4 linked regions of the Drosophila melanogaster genome follow. The protein of the gene in region 1 interacts with the protein of each later gene in a pairwise test. Each region holds a gene or a part of one and is shown in the gene's direction. Other genes may lie near its edges.

Region 1 (6,772 bases):
GACCTCTTGATGAAACCACTTCGATATCAAGTTCTGCTGGGCGAAGCAGCTAAACGGAGAATTACTTGCAGTGGCTTGAATTCATAATGATAATAATTAAGTTACAGAAGTTTATTTTACCAACGTTAAATTTTATATATATATTATAGGTAAAATATTGCATACACCTTTTAGTTCAAACGCGCTTTAAGTGGACTTGTTTATTTTCATTTTAGTTGCTTGCTTTGTGCATTCAGATTCACATTTTAAATGATATATTATTGCTGGATGATTTATTATGCGAAACATTTTCTGTTTATGGACATAAAATATTTGTATTTTTAGTCAGAAATTTTCGGTGTGGGCCAAGAACGCTTTTAATAATGCGCTTCAAACATCCAAAGGCAACGAATATTCAGCGGTGTATTTTCACGTTTAACTAATGTGGTTTTAACAATCACCTTAAATAGCACATTAGCTTTCGATTTCTATCGCATTCGAGTCGCTTACACAAGCAGGGAGTTGAAAATCCGAGTGAAATATAAATAATACCTAATTAATTGTCAATTAATCTAGTTTTTATTCTATTTCAAACTTGAAAAGTAGACTTAACTTATATATGATTACAACTAATGTGCAGATATATTTAAAAAAAACTGCTGAATTCCCCTTGCCCATCGAAAGATTCATTTACACAAAAAAAACATTTCCATTCGAAACGCATAATATTTACAAATCAATCGAGGCATAAAACCGTCTATACTACATGGGAAAGTCAGTGCCCATGAATTCTACTAAGAAAATATTTCGTTGGAGCCCAGAACTTATGGGTATAGGTTTCTTTAATAAACTTGGAAATGCAACGCACAGCGCTCAGTAAACTCCGCAACTCCACACGGAATATGGAAAGCAGTAAAAGCCATACAATCATTGGAAAAGTTATTTGTTTTGACGGAGAGTAGGAGCGTGGGCAATATGGCGAGATCCCTTGCCACATTCATATGTAAATGCATCAGGTTGTAGAAAGCTTAGGTGAAGGGAAAAACTATAACTTTTCAAATCAAATTATTACTCATAAAACGATAGGTCGCGTTGTTAAGTGACTTGTTCTTCGAGGTTTTTATGGTTCCACAATTGAGTGAATCTAAGATGGAAAACGTTACTCTTACAAGGGCTTGTCTAATTTAAATGAAAGTACATTTAAGTTGCTTGTTTCTGTGTAGTAGTTAACTACTGTAAAGAAATAGATTTAGAAATAATATTCATTGCAAATAGCAAACCAAAGCGACTAGTCGCATTTTGATCTAGTACATCGAAATGAATGCATACTATAAATGTATTTTACTTATTCTTTGTGGTAAAATAAGACATATTTAACTAAAAATTAATAATCACTATTTAACCATTCCTTTAGCAACGTTTTATGTCCATTTAGTTAACAGCTTAGACAAGCACGACATCAATGCAATTTTAACGAAGTTTAAAAATCTCGCTGGTAACTATTTATATTTTAAAAGTTATAAAATTACTAAACGATCTGTCTGTTGAAGTAAAATCCGCAAGCATGCACTTGCAGGATAGCAAATCGGATATAAACATCACCTCCAAAGAATTTTGTATGAAAAATGACGAAAGGACGAACCGCTTCAAAAGGATTATTTTTCTGCAGAAAGAGGTTATCCTAAAATTGCAATCCCAATTGTTGGAACAAACTCTGAATTGCAGCAACCTGAGGCAAAGAGTTCGCAGGCTCATTGATAGTTACACAAACCTAAAGTCCGAGCTTGAAGAACTAAGGTCGAAAAGTGGCACAACTGACGGCCCCAAGAATGAGAGCACTATAAAACATATATAGTAGATTTGTTGGATTCAAACAATATTAAATATTAATTGATGAAATGAACCATGATTTTATTTTACATCTTGGCGCACTTTTCTTTGTCCTTAGGGCACTTTCCTTTAACAATTTCGGTGAATGCTGGGAAAGTGTATAAATATTTATACTGCTGCAGGCGAAATTACATTAATATATTCCACTTACGTTTCAGCTTTTTTTGCTCTCGACGGCATGAAATTCTTTCAACTTGGCATCGATTCAGAGCAGTAAACACACATGAGCCATCAGCAACCTTTCCACAATGGATATTACTTTTCCAGTCACAGGTAAGGCATTCGTCTGCAATGGTTTTCGCCAATACCAGAGATACTATAACTACGGGTCTATTATTAAATTTTTAATCTGAATCCAAAAGGTTGAGGTCCTACCAAATATGAGATGGATCTTCATGCCGTCACTTTAGTTTCGAAACTACTTTTTCGAAATACTCAAAAGAACACAATAAACTTTAATTCGATTACAGAACTATGACTGAAACATATCATATTTGCAACAGTTAGCACATGTATTAAAAACAAAATTCAATTTGCTAATGTTATACCATTGTATCTTGGTACTCTTTATACTTTGCGCTAAGTATCTACAGGCTGTGTAGTTCAACAAGAAACCCTTTTCTTTAAAAATGTGCAATTGATAACTTAAGTCCCCTTTTTTACTCATAAAAATCAATATATTTTTTATGACCCTAGCGACTGTGATGTGTTGTAAATTGATTTAATGGCCAAATGCTCACTTTGAAGCTCGAGAGTGCGTTATAAACTGACATCGAATGAAGCCGGGCCCATTTACGCAAGTTGACTGTACAAACGCCATGCATTTGAGACAACTCCTTACCGAAATGGGTAAGCAATCGATGTACAACAATACTACATTTATTTTATATTAGCTGTTCTTAATTTTGAAGTTATTATCTTGACCATATTGACCATTCCTGGCTATACCATTCACACCTTGGCAGAGAAGAAAATCAGCCAATATCCTTGGATCCCGAAGACGTCAACGCATATTACACCTTATAAGATATCTGGGGATATATGAAATATGAAATGTGTTATTATGTATGAATAAATTTCGACGAATTTGTCTGCCCAACAATATATTCTAAATAAATGCATATTTTAAAAGATACTAAGAGCGCATGAAATAAAAGTTTACTTCAATAAGCTTGATATTTTTTTAAAAAAACCAATGTGGTTGTGAATGTGCAGAATATACCTGGTATTTTTAGATTATTTTTTTATAAGCACATTGGACTCTCAATTTATTTATGTATATTTCCAACCTAATATTCCGTGCAATAAGTAATTATCCAAACCAACTTGGATATCTCTACAACTTACTAATTATTGACTTCCATCAAGCATCTTTTAATGAATGTAAACCCTTCCTTAGTTAATTTATCCGAAGCCATCAGAATGATCAAACCTTTTTAGTTTTCAAACATTTTTTTAAAAATGCACTTGCAACTGCATCAGTATTGATTATGTCCTATCAGAGAAATGCTAAACAGGCCTGAAAGAATTGACCATATCAGTGAGCATGGCGAGCAATAAATCTAATTGATTTTGATCGCCGTTTGATGGCCATACTTGAAGCAACTACTGGCGACCTATAAAAGAGGGAACGCAATCATCAGTCTTCAGTTCAGTTTGAGGATCATGAAATTCTTGACCGTATTTGCATTCGCCTGTGGTAAGTAGTCCGCACGACTTGGCCAACGTTTGATAAACTAAAGATAGGCATCGTTATTCTGTTAGTGGCAACATTTGTGGTGCTCCACGGCGCCTACGGCTCACCACTGCCGGAGCCCATTCCCGATCCGAGTCCGGTGGCCGATCCGAGTCCGGCTGCCAATCCCAGTCCAGTTGCCGATCCGAAGCCCGTTGCCGAGCCATCTGCCAATCCAGGGACCGGAACCAACGCAGAACCAGGTCCGAGGAGCAAACCGAATCCCAGTCCCTCGGCACCAGCAACTCTTTTGGAAGCCAATAAGCAAGACAACTTTGCGGTTCCGCTCCTAGAAACTGCTCCGCAAAAGCTGGATGATGTTCAGGCCGATCCCCAGCCGGCTTAGTGGGTGCATGACCCCACATCAAGGAGCAGCAGCAGCAGCTTAATCCAACTGGAGCCTGCACACCCACACACAAGGGAGACACGCACACATATATATATTAATCTTCTGTATTCAATGTATGCATTTATGTATTCCAACTTCTAGCATGGGCATTAATAAAATTGCAAAAAAAATATTTAAATACTTTTTGGTCATATTTCTATCCCCCAAAAAGAAGCAGATGGTATCTAAACTAAGATATATCTTTCAATACCATTATGATATGCGTGATGTTATGAATCAAAGATAAATAAACATTGAATCAGTACATAAATTAAGCACCACCTCTGTTAACCGAATTCAACAAGCCGCGATTTTAGGGAAGTGACGCGGAGTATTTGCTACACAAATCCATTTCCCACAACAACTTCCGCCAGGCAGTCAGACAGTCCACTGGGCCACGGCAATCACATGACATCGACACCGGCCAGGGAGAGACCAAGTGACCAAGAGACCAGCCGACCAGATCCGGCCAGCCAGATTTGCGTTGGTATAAAAAAAAAAGAAGCCACCGAGACTGGGGGGAAAAAATCGCTTACAAAGAGGAAGCGACAATGAAGTCAGCAGTGTAAGGTTGACGACGCCACGAATGCCGGCAATCCGACCACAAAGACAATGTCTTGGATGCCAACCGGCATTGGAGGGCATAAAACCACACGAAAGCCCCATTGATCGGGGGGCATCGTCGGTTAATCCATTTGTGGGGCATCATTACCACCGGGTTTATTCATCGCATATATGGTATGTAAATAGGTTTATTTGCATCTTTCTTTTGCCTCTTCCGACGATCGTAAATTTTAACTCAACTTTAGTTCGTTCTCAATCGTTAAGGCAGTGAACAATTTTGAGATATCAATTTACATGTTAACACATCTCGATTTTTGAATGAACAGTTGACTGACAAATTGGCCCAATCGGTTGTGAATGAACCGCCATAGTATTGAAAGCCATTGATAACGATTTCAGATTCGAAGAACTATAGAAAAGTAAACCTTTGATGGACTAGAATTGGCAAGCTTCAAATGATAGTCAATGAGTTAGAATGTTCAATTTAGTTTTTAGCAGTTTTCGAAATTTTGATAAGTAGTTAAGATACATCTTTAGCATTCAGATTCAGATAGGATTAATTCTTTCACATATTTCCTGTCTTATTCACTGCTTCTGATTTCTATCTGATTGCCATAGCCATCTCTCAGATTAAAGCTATACACTTGGCCATAACTCAACAAACCTTACGATGGATTTTAAAGATTCTCGACGTAGACAGCATTACAAAGGAACTTTATTGCGAGGTTTCACTTTAAATGGTCGGTCCTAGTATGGGATATGGCAGGCCTTTATGCAAATTGTACCATCTTTGCTTTGCGTTAGCAACAAACAATAAAGATACGCCAACAACAGCTTGTAATGGATATGAAAATATAAAGAAGATTATATATCTGACACGTATTTAAACGTAAAAATATTACAATACCCATGATTCTTAAGACCTTCATTATTAGCCAAAAGTATACTGAAAGTAGTGCTCTAATATAAAGTTAGTTTTTAAAAGCCATAAAGCAAATTCGATGCGGTTAAGTTCAGGATTCGTTATTCTTCATGGTGTTTGAAACACTTCTGTTGTTAAATTTAGCTTCTATTCCCGAGTTATTTACGAACAAGTAAAAAACATCTTAAAGATTCTTTGCAGCTACGAAAATACTCACAAATATTTTTCGTAAACAAAAAATTCTCGTTTGGCAACCAAATATGTGCCAAAACAACATCAAAAGCGGCACAATTAAAGCCAATGCAACGCTCCACATAATTATATTAACCAACTCAGAAAAGGGAAAACAATGGAAATATTAAAGAAAAGGAGTGGAATGAACGGCAGATGGTTACACATTAATTTATAATTATTTGGGCTTCCACCAAAGGGTTAATCAGAACAAGTGCCACTTTGTTGAAAGCGCAGACGAACAAATTGAGAAAAAAATGGATATTGAACGTTATTGTGTATACCCTTTCAAACCGGCATCATTAAATGCATATTCAAATAGCAATGTATTAAATTTAATTATTAAATTATTATGTGTGGTTTTAGGAAATGATAAAAAAATACTTTTTTTGTATATTTTTACTGTTCGAATAGTAAACCGCATTTTGTTAAAGTGTACGGCCGCATCTCATGAGCTCATGTGGTGCGCATCTGAGAAACAGAAACAGAAGCCCAAATTAATTTTGTGGTCTGCTGACTTTTTTGATTATTATTTTGGGTCTGAAACAAATTTGAAATTAATTTTTCCTACTGTGCGGGTGCCCCCCAATAGCCGATTGGGCCTACTTGCTGTTTGGAGAAATTGAGAGGGGGACCCACACTTATATACCATCAGAATTGCATAAACAGACGCGGCAATTACAGATATCGACATTTGCATACGCTGCCGTCAGTCGCCCGCCTCATTAGAGCTAATCAAAATGAATGCTCTAATCAAAGTGGTTTGATTGCAAATCATTTTCACTCGCACTTTCAGCTTTTCACTTTCAATCTAATTGATTGAGATGGAAACCCCGGAGAAGCGATTGGGGGAAACCTGTCTCCATCCCTCTCCATCGATGAAAACAAGAAAATGAATTCGAAGAAATTAGCAAAACGTGAATCACAAACCGCAAAGAGTCATTCACAAAAAGCCTGCCTGCAGAAGACAGGCGTGGGAGCCAAATTGTGGAATCGGAAAATTGCAAATCAATTGAGCACTTACTCAATTTCCCCGTTCAAATTGAAATAGTCCGAGCTTAGA
Region 2 (7,061 bases), 9.6 Mb from region 1:
AAATCATATCACATTTTCGCCCAAGGATAACTGTAACTGTTTTTTCAGCTTCCTAGACTGTGTTTCTCTAACCAAAACCCCCACTCCTTCACAGGCCATCACAGCCTAACAGTATATCCAGGTCACCTGGCCTGGTGAACCTTTTGCAAAAACGAAGATATAAAGAGGAGAGAGAAAAAGAAAGGAACGAACATTAGGGATACCACCAAGGAAAACAAACTATGGCCCAAGATATACGATGTGTGATGTCGTTGACAATGAATTGTTGATTACTATACTACCCCCAGGTCAGGCTCTCCTTTTTTTGGCACGGAACAAAGGAGCTGCGATCCATAAATCGAAGATCGGAGAAGCAGGGAAAATCACTGCCACGGGCTGTATGTGTGTGCATGTGGACCGGGTGCATTGCACAATCAATAGGTAGGTTCGCGGCACAATGGCCAAATACAGTGGAGTAAATGTTTTGAAAAGCCAGCGAAAGGAATTGCTTCTCGGAATCCTTCGGCGGGGCCGGCGTATCAATGTCCTTTAGCCAGAAGAAATCAAAAAGTTGGATCACCTGGCCGTATCTGTCGGCGTTTATGTGCGGGTGCGGGTTCCATCGCTACCTGTGGCCCATTGTTCGCTGCAAATAGTGAATGACCCCCGACCCCGACCCTGGCGGGTCTGAAAATCTAAACGGACCCCAAAAACCATCCCAGCAGCAAGCTCTATTGTCGCAAGTCCTGCACTTGTGGCAGCTGCCTTGACTTCCAGTTCGATTCCCCCTTGGCTTCCCTTCTTCTTTGAGGTTCGACGCAGGTTTCGCGCCTATTCACGGTTCGTTATCCTGTCAATTCAGTGCCGACATTACAGATCCTGTTGTCAGTGTCCTGTCGTCATCGCTGCCCCCAACGTTCCATTATGCTACGGCGACTAAGCTGATTAGGGGACATCGCGTGTGTCCTGCTTATTGGCCACACTAAACACTCTGTTTAGCCTATTACACGTGTCTCCTAAATGAAGTGTGTAAATATTATTTAACTCTGTTGCGGTGATTACGGACTACATAAAAAAAGGGAGAGTTTTTTGTCTGGTGAAATTTACTACAGGGGTTGAATGTGATTATTCACTAATGATTATAGTGATTTCCGCTTGGAAACGCTTCCGAAAAGGAGAGCCACCATTTTGTGCTTAACCGAATTATACTTTCTTCTACATATATATAAAAATAATAAAACATATCCCAATAAATTCATTTTGTTATTATTTTGATTAAGTTAATTACATATAGTTGAGTTAGGGAAAAATGGAATTATCAGACTAAGAAGTTTCTCATTCAACCAGTGGTTTTTTATATTACTTTATCCCTAAATATATGGGACATCTTATCTCCTTTGCCAGACGCCCACCACGTTATGCCAGGTCAGGCCGATGAAACAAACTCCCCTATTAACAAGATTTCCAACACCTTTTTGGCAGGACCTTAGATGCTCCTTGTGCAGAGCAAAAAAAAAAAAAAACCCGCACAAACACAAAGCAGACAAGGAGCCGTTAAGAAAAAATCATTGCACCGGGCGGACGGGTGAACGGACAACAACAATGCACCAAGGAAACCCAGAGGATATCGCATCTGCGCCTGCGGGCAGGCAGGAGCATTTTGAAATCAGGAATCAGCACAAATCGGTGCTGGAAATAATGTCAACTCGAGGGTGGCGCGTTGGTGGCTTGGCATTGACAGCTGCAGCTCAGCCCAGGATTCTTCTCCTTTGGCGCGTCTTCGTCTTGGGCCATCGGCTTGGGTTTTTCGTTTTCAGCTCTTGGGTTTTGGTTTTTGGCAAGATGTGCATCTGTTTGCCCTCAGCCCAAAAAATCGAGACTTGATTCGGACGTTGACTTGCATCTGCGGGCGTACAATGCTGAGTGCAGAGATGGGGAATTTGGCGAGTACACCAGGCAAAAAAGTATGGCAAAATTGCAAACAATTCTAGTTAATAAAAATGTTTGCATATCTAAGTATAGTATTTTTCTACAAATTGTAGTGTTAAGTAGTATTACTACTCCCATATATTATACACACGGAATAGGACACTTTAAAATGAGCTTAGCTAGGCTTATTAAATTTCTAGAAGATTTCTTAAGCTAAGATTTCAAATTCATTATACTTTTTTTTAAGTCAGTCGGTTCTACGAATTTTATTTTGTACTTAAAGCAAATACTGGTTTCTTAGAGTGCATTAAACTACCGCATTTATGATCGACATCGGAATACGAGTAATCACAGTCAGGGCACAGGACACAACAATAGTGCACCATTCGAGATTTTTCAGCATTTCTTTTTTTTTTTTGGCGGCAGGCCCGGGGTCCTACCTGAGTCACATCCTTTGTCGACTCAGGCCTGCCCTTTGATTTTGAATTTTTGAATTTCATTGCCCGGCTGGAGGCTGTCGGAATTTGAATTGGACTGCTGGGGTAATGCAACCGCAATTGTTTCGCCCCCTTTGTTCTGGCTGGCGTTTTGGCATGTGCAGGGATTCTCTTCGAGCGGGCAAATGAGTTCCGTTCTGGATTCCCTTTGTAGTGGGTTATGCAGATGCATATTCCTTAAGATATAACAAAATGTTGCATCACAGCTGCCCAAACACTGGCCTCTAACGGAGCATTCGGAGATCGGAAGATGGAAAACGGAACCGTTTTAGAGATCATATCTGTTCGATATTATAATTTTTGAGTTTTTACTGTTTACATAATCATTATTGTTTTAAAAAACATTGCCACAATAGATTACCAAACCTGCATTTCTGTAGCGTACATTGTGGAGCTCGATTTACAGTTGTAGAATGCTGTTCTTAAAATTTTGAATATGGTTTTAAATTGTTCTGTATCCAAAGACAACTGCAGTTTTTTTAATTTCACATAATACGTTGGTATTTTAACAACAAATAATGTTAATAAAATTACTAAATGGGCTAGTAGGCCAATTCCATTTGGCCTGTGACTTCCCAGAAAACTGTAAGGCTCGAATCTCCGGAATTCGTGGGAAACCCATGGTCGGATCGCGTCCTAGAACGGAATGGCCAATCCTTTCGCATAATGTGCCCACATTAACACCACATCGATCTAATCCCATCTAAATCATTTATAAGCGACAACAATTACCGTGGAAATGAAGATTTCATTGGAAATCCCGCAGCAGTGGCAAACAATATGCCCAGTATTTACATTTACAAATTATATATAATGTCTTATCCTGCAGCCATTTCCCGTCAAATGATCCCCGATAACCTTCTCGGGAGTGAGAGCAATCAATCGAGTGCAACACGTTCTAACGATTTACATGTCAAGTTGACGAGATTTGTCCTGTTGAACAATGGACTGGCGCTTCGTGTGTGTCCAGGTGTCCCCTCATACTTAAATGCCTGCCCATCGATTTCGGTTTCGATCGGGGTTTCGCTTTCATTTGTCACTGCTGTCTGACACCTTGTTATGCGGAGATATCCATCGAGGGCCCGAATGCGAAGACTTCCCCCTTTTTCGAGCTAAGCAAACACAGTTGCGGCAGTTTCAAAATTTCGATTATGCTCGCGTGATAATTATGCATGCAATCGTAAGCTTCCCTCCTGAAGTAGTTTGACATACGCAGTATAAAATAGTATTGGGTCTGGAGTTCTGGTTTGGTTCGGCTTGGCTTTATCGGTCGACGACAATCGGTCTCATTGTTTCCGTTTCCCACCGTCTGGCTTTGCCTTTGTACGAATTGCGTCTTTCGAATGGCCCCATCCCCATCCCAATCCGAATCCCAATCCCCCGTCCCCTCCCCATTCTCGAGCCGAAGTTGTCCAGCTGCGGCAGTAAATTTTATGGTTAACTACGGTCCGACATTTGTGCTATTTAACCTTTTTGTGCCATTGAGCTTCGGGGCAAAAGATCCCCGATCCACGTGCGACTCTGTTTGCTCTGACTCTGGTTCATATGCTAATGGGTGTCTGGTGGGGGCACAAACAAAACCAAGTACTTCTTACTTACAACCTGTAGTTTGAAATTTGAGTTCCTGGACATGTTCTCCATGATTTTAAATCTACTAGGTATGTAGCAAGCTTAGTCGCACAATTCACAACAAACTCTGGAATTGACAGACACAAAACTCATAATTTCCTTATACATATCGAGCGACGCCAAGTCACATATAACTCATTTGTAGAAAATAAGCAGAAGGCTTGAAATTTAGCAAATTCAGTTTTTAATTTCGGCCAGTGATAGGAAATCCTGCCAGTGGAAAAGTGCAAAGATGGAGGAGTATTCGCGGGAACCGTGTCCCCATCGCATCGTCGACGACTGCGGAGGAGCCTTTATCATGGGCTGCGTTGGAGGCGGGCTCTTCCAGGGACTCAAGGGATTCCGGAACGCACCACAGGGACTAGGACGCAGGGTCGCCGGCAGTGTGGCTGCCATCAAGACCAAATCTCCGGTGATAGGTGGAAGTTTCGCCGCCTGGGGTGCAGTGTTCAGCATTGTGGACTGCAGTCTGGTCCACTTTCGCCAAAAGGAGGATCCCTGGAACTCGATAGTGAGCGGAGCAGTTACTGGTGGAATTCTGGCCTCACGCAATGGAGCGGCGGCCATGGCTGGAAGTGCAATTATCGGTGGCGTACTGCTCTCAATGATCGAGGGCTTAGGCATATTTTTTACACGTTTCGCGGCGGAACAGTTCCGAAATCGTGAACCGCATATCATGCCTGATGCCAATGAAGGATACGGTGACTTCAACTCTTCCGGATTTGGATTTCCGGGTGCTCAGCAGGCCACTGCAACTAGCTAAATTCCGATTTTTCTTGTCTGGGTATATTAATACGTAGTCCTTTTTGATTTTCATAAGTGCTAGATTTAGCAATATTCCATTTGAAAAATTCGATGACAATAAAATATGGACAAAATTGCAGTATTTCCATTTAAGCTGTTTTTGCAAAGGAACCAATTTATTAAATTTCAAACAATTTAACACGGATTTATAATTATTAAAATACAATTAGCTGCCGTTTGCAGCTCGTTTTGGAAGAAGGAACAAATGCAATTGGCCCTCTTATCGTTCTCCGTGTTAATTCATTCGTATTCATAATCATTATTGCCTCAACAGGTAGTAGGTTGTTTCACACTTGCCCGAATCCACGACAAAGACACCTGACACGTGTCATAGGTCAGCGTGAGATATTGGCAAATGTTTACCTGTTCCAGATGACTACCTGCGATGCTGCGCCGGCGCATAGAGTCAAGTGTCCGGTCGGCGGGTGTGGCCACTTTACAACCTGTCCACTCGAGATGACCGCGGTGTTCTGGCCATTAGACTGAGTGAGGTACTGAGTGGCACTGGCTACCGGCCACATGTCCTGCTCCTAGCTGGAAAGTCTCGAGCGCACTCAAATCAGAACTTTTCCCCCGCAAGGCAAAAAACCAAAGGCAACGCCGATTTCCCAGCAACACATGGACGGTGGGAAGATGGGAAGTCGAGCCCAGTTATAAAATCGTGGGAAAACGCCGCCTACAAGGAAATCCCTTTTCGGCCGACATGGAAATTTCTTGAATAAATGGCCCAAAGAACATATGTAACTTTGGCTCGTGTGTTTTTTTTCCGCGAGCGCCGACTACTCGTAATGTGTGCGAGATTCCTCGCCTTGAGGAATTCCGCAACAAAACATTTGGACACGCCTGGCGCTACGGGAAAAGCACAGCAACATCATCATGTGGCCCGGCCAGGATGTGTGGGAACTGGAGAACTGGGGAATCCAAGGAGTCGCACCTACGCGCATAGTACGTGCTCCGGTCCGGCCAGCTCACACATGTGTAACCAGTACCGCCAGTCCTGTTTGTTTTCCCAGCTCCGCAGTTGGAGTTCCGACATATGTGAGCGGGCCAGGAGAACTCCCTCATGGGAAAACGGAGAGCCCAGCGAAGTCGAAGGTAGGACCAAGGTGAGAGAGACTGGCACATGGGACTTTGAAGGTACACAGCTATCACAGTTACACCGCAAAAAATGTCAACTAGTTTGGAAAACGGAAAATATATGTTGAACCTCTTCTATTTTAAATAATTAAGTATGTAAATGGTATGAAAGGGTATATTTAAATGGTTACGATGGGTTTTAACGATAATCGTATTTTACGAATTTTGAAGTATTTTGTTTAAAACAAACACCGTTTTGTTTAACACCGTTCAAAAATCCATTTTATGTCAATATTTTTCTAAGTGTAGATAAGGCACCAGGCCAAATAGTTCACACCTTCGCCTGGACAGGCTTGAGTTTGGTATTGAAAATGGGTCCGAAACGGGGCATGTGGCAAGCACATGTTTGGCGTTGACCAACAAAACACCTCAATGCGAGAAATCAACCCAAATGGAAGATTTTTCGCATGCTGCGCCCGCATGGCGCTAAACGCGAGCCATTTATCAGGGATGTTGAGGCTAATAGAAAATTCAAGAAATTTCACAGCGAAATATATTTAAAGGATAAAATCTTGGTTTGTGAAAACAAATTTAATAAAGCTGCCAATCTTAAAATCCCTAACGAACGAAATTTTAATATTCGTTTCCAGATATGAACAAGAATATTTTTCTGCGTGGCATATACCTTCAATTCATCTTGAGACCGACCGATGATAACAGATATGTTGATCTGATGCTAGCCTTGGCACATGTCAATGTCAATCGTTGAACCGCATTCAAATTGAGGCGAGGCGCATTAAAGGCATATTTCCGACTTTCTGGCACCTTTCAAGCTCTATGCATTAGAATATTTGCATTTCACTGGAGTGCCCGTTGAATTTGGTATTCCCAAAATCAGGCGCCAAAAATCTCATGCATATATGACACACATTTTAATTGGGACTGGGACAAGTCTGCAGGCAGACCAATGCATTTATTACGCGACTTGATTTTAGAATTCCTAAAAAGCTACTGCTAGGTGAATAAATTAGGCTCCAGCCCCCAGAAAACCTTGCCTGAGTTCACAACAAGTTCAAGGGTGCTACACAGCAAAATGTTGGAATTTAAAAATATATAACAATAAAATAACATATCAATAATTCATAA
Region 3 (8,630 bases), on another chromosome or scaffold:
TCGAAAATCCGAGCAAACGACTTTGAAGTCAATCGCCGGACTTGCGTCAAATCTCCAACGGCTTTCGATCGAATTCGTGTTATCAGTAGCGGCGATTTGATTGATAGCGTGTCCATTGGGCGGCGTGGAATGTCTAAAAACTTTCCAAAACAAGTGTTTTGTAAATCGGACTTCCTGGCCCGGGCCTTATTGTATTATTTTGCTCTTTCCTTTTTTTTATTTCAAGTTTGCCGCAGCTGCAACGCTGCCTCTGAATGTGATTCATGTGGCGCAATCTGCTTTATCTTTCCGAAATTTATCTATGTACCTCTAACCAGTGGTCATTATATGGCTTACGATTAGATTACCAAGGCTGTTCAGGTCTCCAAGTGGGCGGGGCCTTTCCCAGATCTAGATGCCAGTCATTCATGGTTTTATGTTTTGCCAGTGAGTAATGCCAAGCATAAACAAAAGAAGTACCGAAGTTCGGATTCCCCTTGCTTTATGACTGACTGTTTGAATAGGTGACTCGAATACGTTCAGAGTTTTAAGTTAACTGAGGAAATAAATAATCATATCAGACCAAAATAGAGTATGTTTTTTGGAGGTTCTTATATTTTATTTTTAAGTTTAAAGTTGACTTTGTGCTGTTACTTTGATGTTGATGTTGATCATTCGTATGACAGTTGCAAAGTGACACAATCTTGGCGTTTATGATCCTTATCATATATTCAGCAAATAGAATTTTTTTAGACGGTTAGCTAGACAATTTTACTACCGGATTAGCTTTTCGTACTTGTCTGTCCAAGCGGCTTTTGCAATCTTCCGGTGAAGAGTTGATGTTATTTTCCATCACTGACTTGAAAACAATACTTAATTTTGGGTTACTTTTTTTGTATTTTTAGGAGTACTGCGACCACGTCACTACTTTGTGGAACGATGTGGGTATTCGCGCCTGCTATGATCGCTCAAATGAGTTTCCCCTGCTGGATAGTGCGAAATAGTAAGTATCTAATTGGATTGATTCAAAATCAGATTTCTTTCCCATTTATTCAAAAAAAAACCTTACTAAAGTTTGAATTTTTTTTTACCCCAGCTTCCTGGACAACTTTGTGCGGATCAGCGATGCTGAATACATACCCAGCACCGAGGACATTCTGCACAGCCGTAAGATCACCACCGGCATCTCGCAAATCACCTTCCGCGTACCCATTCCCAAGAGCATGGGTGGTGGCGAACAGCAGTTCCAAATGTACGATGTGGGTGGCCAAAGGGATCAGCGGAATAAGTGGATTCAGGTATTCGAAGGCATACAGGCCGTATTGTTCCTGATCTCGTGCAGCGAGTTCGATCAGAATCTGCGCGAGGATCCCAGCCAGAATCGTTTGCAGGAGGCTCTGAAGTTGTTCAGAGCCGTGTGGCAGAATCGTTTCCTCGCCTCCGCCGGATTGATCGTGTTCCTCAACAAGTACGACATCATGGAGCGAAAGATTCGGGCCGGCAAGCACATTGTGGACTACTTTCCCGAATACGAGGACTTCTGCAAGAGGCCGCAGCAGGACAATTGCTTTGGCGAGAGTGACTGGACGAAGATGTTCATCAAACAGAAGCTGGTGGATATCACACAGGAGCCGTTCAAGCGACACTCACGGAATCAGGTGGATCTGGGTACCTCGGAAAGGGAGTGCTACTACCACTTCACCGTCGCCACGGATACGCGATGCATCCGTGATGTCTTCTGCGATGTCCAGAAGATGATCCTCTCGGAGAACGTGTCCAGCATGGGCCTATTCTAGTCCAGATCCCGTTGCGGATCGGAGAGCTTCTCAATAAAGTTAAGGGAGGGCTGTCCTCAGGCCCCCACCAACTGTGATCTAGTAGGATATGACTTACATAAGTAGCCATGTAAGACCGTAGATCGTAGTGGCAACCGTATGTTGCACAATGGCTGGTACAACGCTTTAATATATTTAACTGCATTGGGTGTAGAGGAAGAATCCTCATACCGAATGCTCTCACTACTCCTTCAACCAATGTCTAAACTCTAATAGAATATAGCATCTACAATAAACCAAAACACACCCAGACAATTTGAGAATGAGTTTTAAATATTTTTGCACCCAAAGTTTGGGTATTTGGGTCCCATGCAACACAAAGTGTAGCATACTTCAAAGGGCACACACGCTTTGAGCGATCTGATGTTGCCATAGGAAAGGAAAAGAAACCATAGTTGTTTTACTTTTGATCAAAATAGTTTCCCATTCGGAATACACCATTCTACTCTTTATACAAGAATATATAAGCTTCGTATTAAAACATTTTAAAATATAAAAAACATATTGAAAGGCAAAAAGTCATAGTGATCTTTTACAAAATATGCGCTTCTTATTCAAATTAAAAAAAAAGCTTATTCCACTTAAATGCCGTTTATCGATCAGAGCGTTATATTTTGTACGGTCGGTCTTAAATTTAAATGATGGAATCCACATAGTTCTTTACCATCGCTTAACTAATAGCCAAGTTACACACCAATGAGCTGTGGTCCTTACCTAATACCCATTACTCGTAAAGTGATATGGTATTTAAGTTTTGTGTCTACGTATGCAACACGAACAAAGAATCGTTACTTTCAACCAAATCAAAAAGTTAAATAAAGATCGATCATCGTTTTAACTTTTACCAGCTTACGTTCTCCCCAAACATTTTAACGATTCATGTCGGTATAACCATAAAACAAAAATATTCCTGTATAACTCGCGATACTGTTTAATAATTTGGGCATACAAATGCATCTTGCTACGCTTAACCAAAGACACTAGTGGCTTAACTGTTCCTTGCAACATAAGTAAGTTTGACTAGTACCCAATAGGAGTGGAACCAGTGTGCATAGAGCTCCACCCGCACGCAGCTAGATGTGACCGCACGCGAGCCGCAGAAAAATACCGCGATGGCAAAAGTACCAGCGCCATGATTGGTACTAAAATATCTCCTATATATAAGTATAGCGATAAAGCAGCCGAACCGCCAGCTAAACGTTCAGTTCGCTTTGCGCCGGCAAATTCGATAGTTTTTTGAGTTTGCTGAACCGAGTCGCTGGGGCAGAAGTGTGTGACAGCCAGCCGTGTGTGTTGTGATCCAGCCAATTGATACTGCGATAAGAGGCGGCGAGCAAATGTAATTACCTCATAGACATCAGCGTTCGAAAATAGTAACCGTGTTTTCTGTGATATCTGTGTGAGTGCGTGTTCTCGTTGATGTTTTGCGGTGGTTTGGTTTCCTCCTTATTTTGCGCCCCTTTTTTCTCATCCGATGCTGCGAGAGAGAACGAAAGAGAGGAGAGGCAAAAACATATTTCCCAGACATTTGCTGATTTAACCGAGAACTTTATCGATTCAGCAGGAACCAGAATACGAATGGAAAAAATTCGGCAAAGATCGCGTGTTTTTGCGTGAGAGCAAAGTTAGGGCGAGGAGGGGCAGTTTGTTTTTCGGAAACATAAAAACCGCTAGGAGCATCGAAAAAATTTCACTAGAAATTTTTGAAAGCGCTCGCGCAAAAAACCGGATATGTTACTCAAAAAGAAACAACAGAAAAAGCTTCCAAATCAAACCAAAGCGAAGCTTATGGCAAAACGAAATCACCTGTGTGTGCGAGAGTGAGTGAGAGTGCGTAAAAGTGTGAGCGCGTCGAGTGTGTGTATGATTAGTCGCGTGTCTGGCATGCAATTAGGCATTCAAACTAATTTCCCTCCCACCGGCAAGTTGCCCTGTCTCATTTGTATTTTGCTGGGTTTCGCTGTTTGCTTATGCATTCCTTCAAGTTCTTTTAATTCGCACGAGACTTTCGTGGGCAGAGAAAAAGAGGAAGAGAGAGCGCGCCAGACTGGCGCTCTCTGTAAACTACCACAATTACACTTTCCGTTACAGCCACCCCCTCACTCATGTGCTCCCAGAACACTGTGAGAAAAGTGATGTAATAACGGGGTAGCTTACAGGACTCAGAGTGTCCCTGGATTCAGCTATTAGTATTGTGATTTCAAGATATAAAAGTAGAATGTTAAAAAAAACCAAACTCGGAGACTCCAAATGTATTTAATTTGTAGTTTTAGTGTAGTTTTTCGGCTAGAGATTTTGGGGATCTTAAAATTCTCACATTTAAATTAAATATTTAAAATAAAACTCATGCACATTTAACTAAACTTAATTATTAATGTCAAGATTTTACCTCCGATTGACGAGCAATGTTTCTCTTTGTGTATCAAGTTGTTTGTGTATCCATTTAAGCTTCAGCACGAGGTGTGAAAAGTGTGAAAAGCGGAAGAATGTAGATGAAGATAACCACAAAGCGTGCGCCATTCATGAAAGCGTTGCACATCCCTTGCAGAGTGAGCAAGAGCGGGAAGGTGTTTGAAGGGGTGTGAGAGGGAAGAAAGATTGAGTAAGAGAGAGCCATGGACCAACGGTGTTTTTTTTGTTGCCTGGCAAAATCAATGAAATGGATGAATGAGAGGAGGAGTGGTGTGGGACGAAGGGGAAAGGAAGGTCGCCGAGAAATTTATGCGACAAAACGCGGGCTTTTTATGTGCCTGATTGTGTGTGTGTGTGTGTGAGAGAGCGCGTGTGAGTTTTGATAAGGGGGAGTGGTGCGGAATTTTTACTGAATTAAGCTTTAAACATCGTCGTGTAAAATCCCCATTACTTAGGAAACAGATAAGATACTGCAATCAGTAAAAAAAACTAAAAACATTCGACTCGAAGATAAATTGTAGTTTTAATAATTAAAGAATGTTCCCATAAGTTAAAAAATTATATTCAAAGTGTTTTCCTTTTTGTGTGCCTATTTTAAAAGTACGTAATGTATAAAAAAACAAAGTCATACAGAGCAAAATGAGAAAATTTAAACCGTCCTAGTTCATTGGGTACTTTCAGTATATTATTTTATTTATTCAAATAAAACAGCTGTATAGCTCGATGTATATTTAAATTAGTTTTTAATCAGCAGAAGCTAAAACCTATTGTTAATATTAAATTAATATTAATTTAATAAAATCGTTCTGGTGTACGAATAGCTATTTCTAATACGAATAGCTATATTCCTTAACAAAGTTGTACAAGATCTTTGACAAGATAGTTCTGAGTACATTAACTAATCTATCTCTACTTTCTTGTCAATCCACAGCTGCATATAACCCAAGTAACATAGCCACCAACTCAAACACATAAAGCCCACCAAAATGATCAACATGGACATTAGCGTTACGCCCAATTACTCGTACATCTTCGACTTCGAGAACGATTTCATACACCAGCGGACGCGCAAATGGATGCTAGAGAACTGGACATGGGTGTTCTACTACTGCGGCATCTACATGCTGGTCATCTTCGGTGGTCAGCACTTTATGCAAAATCGGCCTAGGTGAGTCTGCCACACTGAACTGAACTATGTGAACTAAAGCAGTTTTGCGATTAAAAAACATGTGTTCTTTGGTGGCTTAGATAGACAATTCAGTGAAATAACGGTTGGGTTAAGAACTTGCGCCCTTTGGCCTTGGAAAATTATTAGCTGGCGGCCGGGGAGCGGCGTTAATTACACCCACAAGTGCACACGCCCCTTGCAGTCGGTAGAAACAACTTTGCTGTTTATCGAAACCAATCCCTGGAAACCCCTATATTGACTCAGTCGCGCTTTGTTTCGGTTTATTCTCCGGAAAGACTGGAGTCCAAGTGTACATTTGTTATTAGCCCAGACAGCTGTTGAGTTCCACGTGTAATTATATTAAATTACGGCTAATCAAACACTAATGTTGTAGGTGAATCCTCAACTCGGGCTCAAATAGCCAACAATTCGCATTCGCACCTGAGCACGCACTATTCAGGTGTATTTTCCGATGGCTAAAGACCTATTTGATTGGGTATTTTAACAATTTTTCCAACAGTCAGCGCTGTTTGTCCCCTCCTTGTTACCTGATTTACCTGTGGTGGATCCAATTGGCGGCTATTCGTGCTGGCAATTGTCTCGTTTCGATTCGCTTCGTTTTTGCCTATGATACTGTGTTTGCCTTCCTGCTTCTAATTGTCGTCATCGGGCTTTGTGGCCAAATTAAGTTGGGCTCGTGACATGCCATTTAGACAGTATTTTTGCAAGATCATAATTCAGTTTTGTCACCTGGTTTGGAGCTGTTTATAGCCTTGCTAAGGCCACTGTGAAATTCGGTAGAAAGTTGCTACCGTCTAACAGAAAAGTTTATTATTGTCCAACTGGGGAAAACGGGCTATATAAGTTCCTTCTGAGTATCTTTCGAAACATACGTCTTTGTATTCTAAAAAATGTTAGCTAGATAAGTCTATTTGATGTGGCTTTCCTAACCCTGAATTCCACATCATGATTCAATTGCTTGCATAATGTAATGTGGAGTAGCGATTCCTGCCCACACTCCGACCCAAAGCCATTGGGTTTTTGGATGAGTTATATAGGGGCTTGGCCCTGGGTTGCTTGGCGATTCTCTACGCGGACACTCGTCGGGGGATCTGTCGGTTAATTTTTCACTTTATTGTTGTTGGCTTTGCCTTACACTTGGCTTTTTCGGAATGTCATTTCAATATTTGCCCACATGGAGGAGAGTCGGCTAAGCAAATGGACGTATGTACTTGGTACAGAAAGGTGTGAATTTAGTGAAAATGCAGGCGTTTCTTTCGAACTGTTGGGGTTAAAAAACTGACAAGGTAAGGATGAATTGGGCAAATTAAAACGGATTGATTTCCGCTTGCTCAGCATGGCTACTTAACTTCTTGAATACTCAAACACATGCATGAATATTCAATATTTGACGTTTTCCAAACCATGCCATGTTTAAGAATCTCTAATTAGCAACCACGGTTCTGAACAGCGTGTCAAAATTAATCGCAAACTTTGAAAGAATGCAAATGCACCTGACCGCATGCCACCGACTGTACATTTACATATTTAGAGAGTGGACTTCCCGCTTGCATTCCACCTCATCTTTCATGAATTTAATTTTTGAATTTCTGTTTTGTTTCACTCGTTTCGGACAGTGCGCCATTAAAGTCATTAAACTGATTAGGTTTATAGGTACACGCCATGTCGTACTCGTTTCATTTCAAATGCCCAACGGACAAAGTTTTCCACGGCGACCATGTGGCACGTATGTATGTACATATGTGCTTGTGTGTCATGCAAGAAGTGGGTGTGTCCACGCAGACGGGGTTGTGGGTAGTAGTCCTGGACGGAACTCCAACAGGACACTTTGACATGTAGCCGCTCTATAGGTCCACTTCAATTGGACACTGGTACACTGGACCACCTGATTGCGTTTACAATATTTACCAGCACTTTAAAGTGATTTTTGCTTTTTTTTATAGTTAAAAAGTAAACAAGAGGTCGAAGCCTTTGGAGAATTTTAATATTTCAGTTTTTAGTATCCATAACGTATTGCGTATTACAGTTGACATCTCCTTAAATGGTTAAAGATTAAATATGCCTAATAAAATTAGCTTATAAGCACTCTACAAAGAATCTATAAAATATAAGTTGCAAAGCCTTAATGGTCCATAAAGTAAGATATTCAAATGATGTAATATGCGTGAAAAACAAGTTCCTGTTGGCCAGTGTAGCTTTGGCGTGCGCAAATGTTTTGTGACCATATAAGGAGGAGGGTTCATAAGGGGGCGATATGAGATGGGGTGGGCAACGTGTGTGGGGACCCCAGTGGTTAAAATAGAAATCTGAAGCAGCGAATAATGTATGTATGTGTTTGCAGAGGAGCACGATGACCGATAATTGTAATCATTTAAATTTTAAAGCGATTGAGTCATTCAGTTGCTTTGGTTTCTCGCTATTATTCATGTTGTTCCGAGCAAATTGCATTATTTATATCACAACAACTGGAAATAGTGTGTCGAGGACAAATGAGTACAGAGTACAGAGGACCTAGGATCTAGGTCCACCCTCGCTCGAAATAATAATGTCCTTTAATGTGGATTCTCTCACCACGCACAGTGTCCTTAAATGGTTGGAAAAATGTTGTTTGGCGTGTGTGTTGCTACGGGGAAATTTTTTTTTTTGCAATTGAAGCGTGGCAATTGCATAACATTTACATTTGCGAATTAAACAATAATTGCCGCCCCTCCACGGGCACCTGCAATTACAATCACTGCCGCAATTAACTATTACCACCAGCCACAGCATTTAGTTAAAAAATAATTCACATGCCGCAGTAGACCGATCGAAAATAATAAGTAAAAAAATATGAAAAAAACACACAACGAACGTGGAGAGACGAGAAAGGGCAGTGCTGAAAGTGAAACTTAATTCAATTTTGGTCGGCCTATGAGTGTGCATATATGTATGTACATACATATATTAACATCGTATTAACGACAACCGTTAACGCAAACAGTTGGTCAAAAGTGGGCAGAGCTGGCGAGCAAATCTCCGCGTTTCTTTAATAGGCATTTTGTGTATGTTTTGATATATTTTCTACATAAGATACCATTTTCGAGATCTCAATGTTGGAGCTTTGGGAAAAGCTCCGCTTGCTCTTTTTTCTTTCTTTCTGTGTTTTTTTGGCGGCGGCCCTTTCCTCTCAACTCAGCATCTTCATATCACGCCACTTTTCCCCACTTTTATTTGCT
Region 4 (10,133 bases), on another chromosome or scaffold:
AAGGCGATCAATGGCAAGTTAGAAGAGACGTCAGGTGCTTTCAAGGTGCTCGTCCTGGATTTCTCCATGCTGGGACACATCGATGTGGCTGGATGTCGCACCCTGACGGATCTGAGCAAGGAACTGAAGGTGCGAGGAGCTCGTTTGTTGTTGGCTAGCCCCGTAGATCGGGTATACGATACCCTCGTGCACAGTATGGCCCTTAGCGAAGGACCTTTTGAGATCTTCCCCACCCTGCACGATTGTGTGGAATATGCCAATGCCTGTCGAACAGCGTGAGAGGGTGTTCCTGCTCCAGACACCCCAGTTAACTGGGGCAGAGAGCCAAACCACGTTTTGTGATATGTCCAAGTGATAGCTTGTGAATCGTAGCATCAAAACCCCTTCCTAGTTGCTAAAATCTATTTTAAACTGAATAGAAACAATGTCGCCGTCTACAATCAAGCAGAATAGGCTAAGTTTGTTTAAGTGCCTCCAAAATATTGATTTTTGTACTTAAAGCATACACAGCCCACCAGTCAGGCAACCGAAGAACTTCAATCGATCAATGAAGTGCATTGATTTAGTGCAATTTGTACCAAAATGAACAATTCAAACACACACAATTAGTCCATAAGGTTGATATGTATGGAGATGTATAAACTGTACATAAACATTTCAATGAATTTGTTGCATTTATTCTAATGTGGATTTTAAGCGGGTCGGATTCGAACTTCTAGCACATTTATGAAGCCTACCTTTAGGGTTTCTCAACAAAAGCATTATCGAATGTATTTCATTTTCGAACAAAGTGCTGCATACAAAGTTAGCTAAGGCTGGGTACCGGAAACCCTATACCGTGCATTGGATGGTTCAATTCCTTCTTAGAAAAGAATTTAGAACAGGAACGATGTTTTACAACATTTTTCAAAATTTAAAGGTGCCGCCACAAAATATTTAAAAACAAATTAAATATGTAGATAATTTTAAAAGTGTCATGTAGCCATAATAAATATTGAACATAAAGGAATAGGATTAAAATATAATATGCATTTATAGTTACTACATGTTCTCTAAAACTATTAATTTGTGTGCGGATAGGAAGTTAACAGAGTAATAACAAAAGGAAAATCGCATTCCGTGATGTTCTATCTGAAGAGTCTCATGTAAATATTCAGAAATTAATTAAATTGAAAAACGAAAACATTCTCAGAACTTTCGTCAAACCGTTTTCTGGACAAGACACATAATATACATACGTTGAAATGATTCATATTCATATCATTTATGTACTTAGGATTCATAAGATTGCCATATTGGTTGGAAATGCCTGACCTGATCGGTAGACATTATATTCAGCATTTGGATGACACATCGCCACGTACAATCACTGGAGCTGACACCGACCAATTAGCGGGCACATGACTAAACTCAGATGTATATTTTGGCTATTTGTTTGCCGAATATCTGTGTGTTTTCGTGGGAGGAGGTGGAACATGCTCTAAGCGGTGGCCAAAAGGGAATACAATTGTTCCAACTGATTAGCCATTTAATGACTTTGGCCCGAGGCCACAGAATGCACTTGGAGTTTGTTTGGACTTGTGTAGAGCTTGGGAAAAACTACATGACTTGAGTTGGTCAAGATCTGGGATTCAGTTGCGTTTTGCGGTTGTCCACCAAAATAAATGCCAGCCCTCAAGTTCGAATTTCGGAAGGTCACTTTGCGTGAAAATGTTGTTTATTTATATATAGAATTTTGTGTAAAAAAGTTCCTTTATACTCCTCTAAGCTAAAGTAAATTCTATATAATTAACTATTGATAACCTTTCAACTTTCGCAATGCATTATTCACGAGCACTACACATTCCCATAGATTCATTAATTTATTAATGCAATATGCAAATTTTTGATTGATTGAGATAGCTTTTATACGAAGATCAGTAAGTGGCGAAGGCGTAAGTAGAGTTATAGCAGCTATGATAAGTCATGTGAGAATCAAAAATGTTGCATTTGTTGTTTTTTCAATGTTTCACTTTAGTTTGCATCTGATAATGTATGATGCATGTTGCTGTGTTAACTCGGTTGTATGCGCAGTTCGGTTAACATTTTAATTATATCTTCCACTACCAGTAGTCATTTGCTTGCCTTCCCAATTTTTGACTCATTCCAATCAGTTAAAGTGCCACAATTTAACGCTTCTGACGCTTGTCACCTTCGCCGAGCTCAACGAGGCTTTCAACTCGCTCACACTAATCGGATCTCAGTAAGTATAGGTTCATAGGCGAAATTGACTGGCTTAAAATTAAGAATTCCCCATAATATTAATGATTCTTGGCCACTTGAGCAAGAATAACTGAGCACTAGTCGCAAACTTCGATTTCTGAGCAATATTTTATCATGAGGCGCCTGTGGGACGAGTGTGTGGAAATGGATTTTATGGCATCTATAAAACGCAAAAGGTTCCCACAGCGAGTTTATAAGATGCAAAATCAACAGGCAGAGTAATTGTTTTTCTTTTTTTTATGATTTATTTTTATTTTCGCCATGCAACTAACACATTGGTCGGTGATTACGGGGACATGGCGGGTGGTTGTTGTTAACACGGCCATAAAAGTGCTAAACAAGCCAACAATTTGAGCGCTTTTCAACCGTGCTGTGGAGTGTAAGTAGGGAGGGTGAGCTATTCGTCTATCGGCAGCCAACTTTCTGACCTTAGCTTGGAAACTGCTTAAAAAATTACTCAACTCAGCCAAAACTATTTGTTCGACTAACAAGAAAATTAAGCTGTTAATTGCCAAAGGTTGTCCTTCGGCACAGCAATTGAGTTCGACCAGCAAAAGTAACATGAAACACGGATAATAAGCATATTTTCCTTGTGCTCTCTTGGAACACTAAGCCCTTGAAATCAAGAAAGAAAGATAGCCTCGCCAATGTTTGATTTCTTTTCTAATATTTTCAATTAAATTTCGATATTTATACATACATGATACAGAAGACAAATTCACATACTACGAGCAATAAAAAGAAGATTTTTAGAAAAGTTCCAAGCTTTAAAACTATGATTCTAGAATGCGTAAGAAAGGAACGGACTGACAAACTTGGCTTTATCAAGTTGTCTGATCAACACTCGTATATTGAATATAAATATGGTTGCAAATAGATGCAAATGATCCAACTGAAGAAAGAAAACAATCATTACAAATAATCCTTGTTCAAAAAGTATTTAAACTTAAACTGTTATAACAAAACGGTAACCAATTCGGATAGATTTGCCTCCAAAATCAATTATGCGGACATTGCCATGTGCAGACCGAGAACTAAAACAAATATCAAATTTCGTTTGCTTATCAATATTTATATTTTGCAATTGCCCGAAATGAAACAAAGGTGCTGGCTGTGGACGACGGATCATATTTTGTTTGCTCAACGCATTTTCACATGCCGACTCCGCAAAGGGAAGTGTGGGTAAAAGAAGCCGAAAAATAGATGAATAAATAAGAGAGAAGCACGAAAACATTCAGAGAAGTATTTGCGGTTTGTAAGCGAGTAGAGACTCCCATCTCTCTCGCACCTGCAGTGCTAAGCCTTCGAAAACAGGGGCTCAAGTCGAAGTTGTTGTAATGTCGAGAGACCGAGACCAGAAAAAGCCCAACAACGAAGCTCTTTGTGAGCGAAACTAATAAAAAACCGATCGCCCCGACTGTTCCCACAACCAGTTCCAAGCGAGCTCTCGGGCGGTAGAGTCGTCCCTGTCCCACATATAAAACCATAGTATCATAGCTCCCCGGATCCACTCAATCCCTGTAAGGCGAGACTTAGGTCCATCAAGTGAATCGTATAGTTTTATCCCCACGAAATATCCCGACAGTACAGTGATAACTCCGCTAAGGATAATGCTGCCTTGGCAAGCGTGACGTAACTTGAAAAGCAAATGTTAAAAGCAAGGCGGCAAAAAAAAAGTTGTTTGCCATGGGAGAACTGCAATTGACAATAACAGCAACAGCAATCGAATAAAAACTCAATAACAATTATCAACTGCGAGTGACGCTTAAAACAAATGCAAGAAACCTGTATTAAAAAAGTTTCATAAAAATTCGAGAGCAAATATTAACGAATATTGCATAAATTGCTATATGCGTATGTAAACTTTGCGATCTCTTTTGATCTGAATGAAGTGATCTGAATGAAGAATGAACCAAAAATTTAAACAAGTTAATAAAATCGACCGAAAAAATGAATGAATGCGTCTTCATCAAAAAGTTGTTTATAAATAAAAGTGAAATTAAAAACTCTTCTACTTCTTACCACAAAAATGTTAATTGAAAGGGTTAAAATAATTTCCTTCTTTTTTTATAGCCACTCCCAAAGTTTCTGTGCATTCAAGTGCAACTAAAAATAGTAGCCGTTTCTTTTGTTTTGCTTTGTGTTTTTGCAAAACAACAAATTGAAGGCAATTTACATACACAAAGCTGAGAAAGAAAACCGCCAAAATTGGTTACCTAACGAAAACTTCGTTTGTGCTACGGGACGGCAAACTTGTAAGTGAATTTGCTTATTAGATAATATTTCATTTGTTTTAATTAATCATAAATTTCATACAGAGGTCCTTCAAATGCGACCACTTTCCTATTTTCACTGCTATATTTTCAAGCTTCGAGTATAAACAAGGAGTACATATTTCATATTTATAGCCTCGACCGATTCTGCTCACTAACTTTTAAGCTAACATCACCTACAAATAAAGATTACATACGAGTTTTAAACATAAATGACCTAGTAAAGCTATTATTCCTATGATTACAGATAGATAACAGGGTATGAAAGGAGCATAAAAGAGTGAGCTCAGAGTTTAGTAGATAGTACTTAAAAAGTCTGATTTTCTAAGTTTTTCATGAGTGACAGGACTTGGAATCCGAGCTTTAAGTGATCTATTACCATGTGTAGCACGTACAGCTGAACAATTACCATAAACTTAATTGGTCTCAGCTTACAAGCGGCAGATATAGTGATTCGCCCCGCCGCCAACGCCCCGTCATCATTAATGGCGACTTTCGGATGACTTACTGTCATCTCAGGCACGATTCGGATTCGCTTAACATGATAACGTCGAATGAAATATAGTGAATATTCAGATAGTGTGAGAACATTTTTTTAATAGCCCCGCCAATTACCTGGCGAACTCGACTGCGGCTTAACATATTTGAATTTGGAGAATAATGCTCGAAATGAGATGTCGTTTACCAGCTAGTGGGGTGAAGGGGTACCCGACTGCTCAGCCTGCAATTACTTTTAATTAGCATTTAGAACATCGCACTGCGCCAAGATGATTCAGAGCTGGGACGGCACTCGTAGTTAAACCACTACAATTAGCTGACAAATTTTCGGGCAGGCTATTACTTTGATTTATTTGTTTTGATCGCTCCAACTTCAACGGGGGGAATTCGTCTCGGAATCGCCGCGCAGCGAACCCTTCAAGTGGGCCTAATGCGATGTAAGTAACCAAAAAAAAAAAAAAAAACGCGAGTCTTTAGAGCCGTAACTGACAAAATCCACAAGACGTTGGCAGCCACCGCCGATAATGAACGCTTGTCTAGGCACATAGCGTTGGCAGCTTCGCTGCTCAGTCGCAGTTCCATAAAGTGGGTCATGGTTAAGTGTACTTCGGTCGCTTCGCGGTTCGGACCCGGCTTAGAAAGAGCGAAACGTTCGGCCGAAACCACAGCTGCGCATGCGCATGCGCATGCGCACCACTCGCCAAGCCGAACACCATTGATAGGCAGCCCATATGTTGGAGTGAATCTTACGCGAAAGAAACTCGTTAAAAAGTACATTCTTGAGATTACATCACATTGCAATAGAGAGTAGGCCAAAAATAGCTAATTTGAAATCGGGATGATGAGTTATGATTAACTTGGTTATCGCTAAGGACCTGTTGAAATTGAATGATCTCTAAGAACTTTAACTTAATTAAAGCATAGTGTGAAATTATTTTTATCTGTCTTTGGATTATAGAGTTGTATCGCCATCAAGAACCTCTGCATCTCATCCTACCCCAAATTCCCTGCATAATTCTCCTCGCATCAATATCCTCTGGGGGCTCTTCACCTGTAGACAAAAGTAAACAATGTGAAATCTTTTTATCCCATTGAATTGGTTAATTGAAATGTATTATCCTTTCAAAGGAAGACGATATGGGCTTCAGTTCGCGAATGGACTGCTGCGGGCAGTTCGTCAAGTACAGTCTTTTCATAGCCAACTTTGTGATATTCGTGAGTATCCAGGAGTCGCTTGAATTAAAAAACAATTTAAGAGAAATAAATAATACCAAAATATATGTATTTTCCAGGTGGGTGGAGCGATTGTGTTTTGTCTCACCCTGTGGACTCTGGTGGATCGGAGTTTCGTCAATGAGTTGCTCGGTACAAATCTTTTCTCGGGTGCTGTCTACGTCCTGCTGGTTACATCGATTATCATTTGTCTGGTGTCCTTTTTGGGTTGTGTTGGTGCCGGAAAAGAAGTCAAATGCCTCCTCCTAACAGTAAGTAAACAACAAACAATAAAAACAAAAATTTCATTTTATTAAATAATTAACTTTGTCCTTTTTGGAGTAATCATATCTGGATTTGCATATTTACAAAGATACCATCTAAAGAAATGATCTATTTGATTTAATCTTCTAAATGTTGTCAGTCTCTTCTTTACTATTATGCAAACACCATTTAGCTAAAAAATTAACCACTCGTTTTCCCTTTGCAGTATTTCATAATAGTGGCCCTAGTTTTCGTGACCATGCTAATTGGCGGTGTCTTGGGTTACGTGTTCCGCGAACGAGTTCAGCAGACCATGCGGCAGGTGAGGCAAATCCATCGATAACAACACGTGGGTGGCACATTAACCCTTACCAATATCCCATAGGAAATGCGTTCCACGATGGCACTATACGGAAGCAGGAGGGAGATCACCCAGGCCTGGGATTTGACCCAGGAGCGACTACAGTGCTGCGGAGTGGATACGTGGCACGACTGGAATAGGTACGGACCAGTGCCTGAGTCCTGTTGCCAGGAGCTTTTCGGTGGACAGCGTAAGGAGTGCACAATCTTCCCGACCATTACGAATCTGTACAACCAGGGATGCCTCTATGTGACGACCAACTTCATCAGGGATCACGCGGCGGTTATTGGAGGTACATCCATAGCGGTGGCCATACTGATGGTAAGTGAACGCCTTTCTTCGGTAGCAAAATTATTATATAATATATAATTAATTGGAATTTGGTTTATTTTTAGATCTTTGGCATGATATTCTCCTGTCTACTATTCAATATGATCGAATAGCGCCAACGAGGAGGGGAATCCCATGGTCACGCAGGAAAATCAGATACCAAGGTCCACAGTCCAGAAGAAACACATTTTTAAACATAATTCGCTGGAGTTAAATTAAGAGTATTATCTGAGTGTATGCTAATGTTAGATCTGCACAGATCAACTGTCCGCTTGTATTATGTATTGTATTGTATGTATATACGTGTTTAGATACGCATAACTAGTGAGTATTGAACTTAGTAGGGATTCTATTGTTATTATCTGTTGCATAAATTTGTATTATTTGTGTGAAGTTTTGTAAATTTCCTCTTAAGCCACCGTTATCAACAACCCATTACAATTGCTAGTTTTAAGTGAGCTTTTCAATACTTAATAGAGAATTTAGATGTCTGTCCATTGTTGTTTTCAATAAAAATTAGTTAAAACCAAATACTTCGGAAATGTTTATATATATTAATATTTTTTATTTTTAATCCAATTATCATTAAACGATATGTTGTGATATGAGTATAAAAAAAAAACGAAAAAGGATAAATATTTAAAATGATCTGGTCCATGAAATATGTCCATGTTACGTAAAAATTTGTATTTAAAAAACGGTTTAAAGTATTAAACTGTTTTTGATCGAAGCTTTAATCTACATGCAATATTGTTGCATATTTTTAGGTTTTTTTTGTCTTAAGTCACATTTTTGAAGCGGGAAAATAGGGAAAGTATGGATCACGCTGTGACCTGAAGGTGTTTACAAAGTGAATTATCATCAGATAATATAACAACTTTTATGTTATTTAACTGAAAATAAGTTCGCACTCAAGCGACTTTAAAGATTTGAATAAAAAAGTATTTTCTTTAATTAACTTTTATTAAAAATTATTCTACTAAGAACTTACAGCTACAACAGATTTCTGTATACTAAGCCTATAATACTACCCATCGCAAGCCATAAATTGATGGAGAAGGTGCCGGAACCTGATTGCGTATCCGTATTATTCCACCACTCCCAGTTTCCGTTGTGGAAAGTCGGGTTAGCTCTTGAATCAGAATGCGGAACTCGGGCGCTGGGAATCGCAGTCTTCCGAATTTGTTCCAACTCATCGGCAAGTTGCTGCAGTTGGAGTGGATACATTTGGGCTAGGTTGTATCGCTCGCAGGGATCTTTGGCCAGATCGAAAAAGCAGGGAGCCTTCAGTGGTTCACATTTGAAATGAGATTCCAGAGGATTTTGTCCTTCAATAGGGGGACACGTTTCGGTGGCTTCACTGCGCATCTGTCGGATGCGATCCTTAGTTAATCCCCGATTTCCTAGTAGGCTTTGAACATCCGATGCCAAGACATGTTGTTCGTAGCTCTCACCCAGGGGATCGTCTTCGTTAGTTTCCAGTTCACCCAACCACTGATCGTATCGTCCTTTAAAGCTGCTCCCGTTTACATACTTAAGAGTATCCCTCATGTACGATGAGTAACCGAAAACCTCATCGAGTACATGAATCATTGTTCTTGGTTTCGGTTCCTCGTTGCCACTCAGCATAGGCCACAAATTAATCCCATCCAACGGAAGATCCTGCGGCAAGGATACGCCGGCAGCTCCTGCCAGTGTGGGCAGCCAGTCTACGGCATGTATCGCCTGGTTGGACACATATCCTCGCTCCTTAAGCAGCGGACTCCACAGTGCACCAGCCGATCGAATGCCACCCTCCCACGGCGATTCCTTTTGCTGAATGTAAAATAAGGTGAATAAATATTCTAGTTTCATTGCTTTTATGATATTCCTGGATTACTTACTCCTCGATAGGGATAGTTAGAACCCGCATTGGAATGGATGCCTATCGTGGGTGCTCCGTTGTCTGAGTAGAGCAGAATAATGCTGTTATTCAGCATGCCATTATCCTTCAAAGCACCAATTGTCTGAGCCACGCTTTTGTCCAGACTGGAAATCATACCTGTGGTAAAAAGTAGTAACAAGATTACAAATATTAATTTGATTTACAATATATGTACGCGTTGTGTTAACTCGCCAGCGTAAGTGCGTCGCTTGGGATCCCTGATGTGGGGAAATTTGGCCACTTCCTCCTCTGGAGCCTGCATCGGACTATCCTCGTTGCCCGTATGCACCGCCAGATGACTGAGCACCATGAACAACGGCTTGCTCTTGTCGTGTTGCTCAATTATCCTTTTTGCTTCCGAAGTAAAGGCTTCGGTGGCGTAAGTGCCATTCGCTTCGGGGCACGGCTCCAGATCCCGCCGGAAATCCAGTCCAGCCGAGTAGTTCCTATCGAGCATTCGCACCTGATGGTCGTAGTAATCAATGTAGCCATTGTAGTAGCCAAAGTGATGGTCGAATCCACGCATTGTTGGCGTGAGATCCTTGCGCCAGAAGCCCAAGTGCCACTTGCCCACCAAATGGGTCGAGTAGCCCGCATCCCGGAAAATTTCGGGCATAAGACGTTCTCGCTGAGGAAGGCCCCACGGCTCATCGGTGATAATCACAAAGTGCTGCATGCCTGAAAATATTCGGATGTAAGCCAATTAAATGATTTTTCGTTGGTAAAACGTATATTACCTGTGTGTATGGGATATTTTCCAGTGAGCAGAGTAGCTCTGGATGGTGTGCATAGGTTCGGAACATAATGCTTATTCAACAGGATACCATTGTAGGCCAAAGCATCTATATTCGGTGTAAGGATCTGATTCGAGCCATGAAAACTGACATCGTTCATGCCCTGGAAATGCAATGGCGATTAGTTACTTTTCGAAAAAAGTTTTAATTTATTATCAAAAACTTACCATGTCATCGATTAGTATTATAACTATATTTGGTTTTGTAGAATATCC

What was found.
Region 2: the proteins of CG9029 (region 1) and Tim17b2 interact in a two-hybrid assay, tested with the Drosophila melanogaster proteins (one large-scale study listed by BioGRID).
Region 3: the proteins of CG9029 (region 1) and Baldspot interact in a two-hybrid assay, tested with the Drosophila melanogaster proteins (one large-scale study listed by BioGRID).
Region 4: the proteins of CG9029 (region 1) and Tsp74F interact in a two-hybrid assay, tested with the Drosophila melanogaster proteins (one large-scale study listed by BioGRID).

Annotation. Positions count from the first base shown.
Region 1 is NT_033779.5:5,882,486-5,889,257, forward strand, and holds CG9029 (uncharacterized protein), read left to right. Parts: upstream 1-3,516; 5' UTR 3,517-3,534; coding exon 3,535-3,568; intron 3,569-3,615; coding exon 3,616-3,950; 3' UTR 3,951-4,124; downstream 4,125-6,772. Other genes in the region: CG44574 (uncharacterized protein), read left to right, coding at 1,297-1,336, 1,394-1,474, 1,530-1,834; Sfp26Ac (seminal fluid protein 26Ac), read right to left, coding at 1,896-1,957, 2,021-2,191, 2,245-2,266; CG43185 (uncharacterized protein), read left to right, coding at 2,688-2,718, 2,781-2,914.
Region 2 is NT_033779.5:15,480,571-15,487,631, forward strand, and holds Tim17b2 (translocase inner membrane 17), read left to right. Parts: upstream 1-4,158; 5' UTR 4,159-4,266; coding exon 4,267-4,797; 3' UTR 4,798-4,975; downstream 4,976-7,061.
Region 3 is NT_037436.4:16,655,994-16,664,623, reverse strand, and holds the start of Baldspot (baldspot), read left to right. Parts: upstream 1-3,008; 5' UTR 3,009-3,153; exon of another isoform or gene 3,154-3,213; intron 3,214-5,157; 5' UTR 5,158-5,212; coding exon 5,213-5,394; intron 5,395-8,630. Other genes in the region: Galphaf (G protein alpha subunit f), read left to right, coding at 885-982, 1,076-1,775. UniProt on the Drosophila melanogaster protein: Catalyzes the first and rate-limiting reaction of the four reactions that constitute the long-chain fatty acids elongation cycle. This process allows the addition of 2 carbons to the chain of long- and very long-chain fatty acids (VLCFAs) per cycle.
Region 4 is NT_037436.4:17,889,415-17,899,547, reverse strand, and holds Tsp74F (tetraspanin 74F), read left to right. Parts: upstream 1-3,685; 5' UTR 3,686-3,782; intron 3,783-4,335; 5' UTR 4,336-4,517; intron 4,518-5,991; exon of another isoform or gene 5,992-6,096; intron 6,097-6,161; 5' UTR 6,162-6,170; coding exon 6,171-6,248; intron 6,249-6,325; coding exon 6,326-6,517; intron 6,518-6,735; coding exon 6,736-6,831; intron 6,832-6,894; coding exon 6,895-7,191; intron 7,192-7,265; coding exon 7,266-7,313; 3' UTR 7,314-7,728; downstream 7,729-10,133. Other genes in the region: prestin, read left to right, coding at 1-279; CG7402 (uncharacterized protein), read right to left, coding at 8,194-9,015, 9,084-9,241, 9,317-9,802, 9,862-10,021, 10,086-10,133.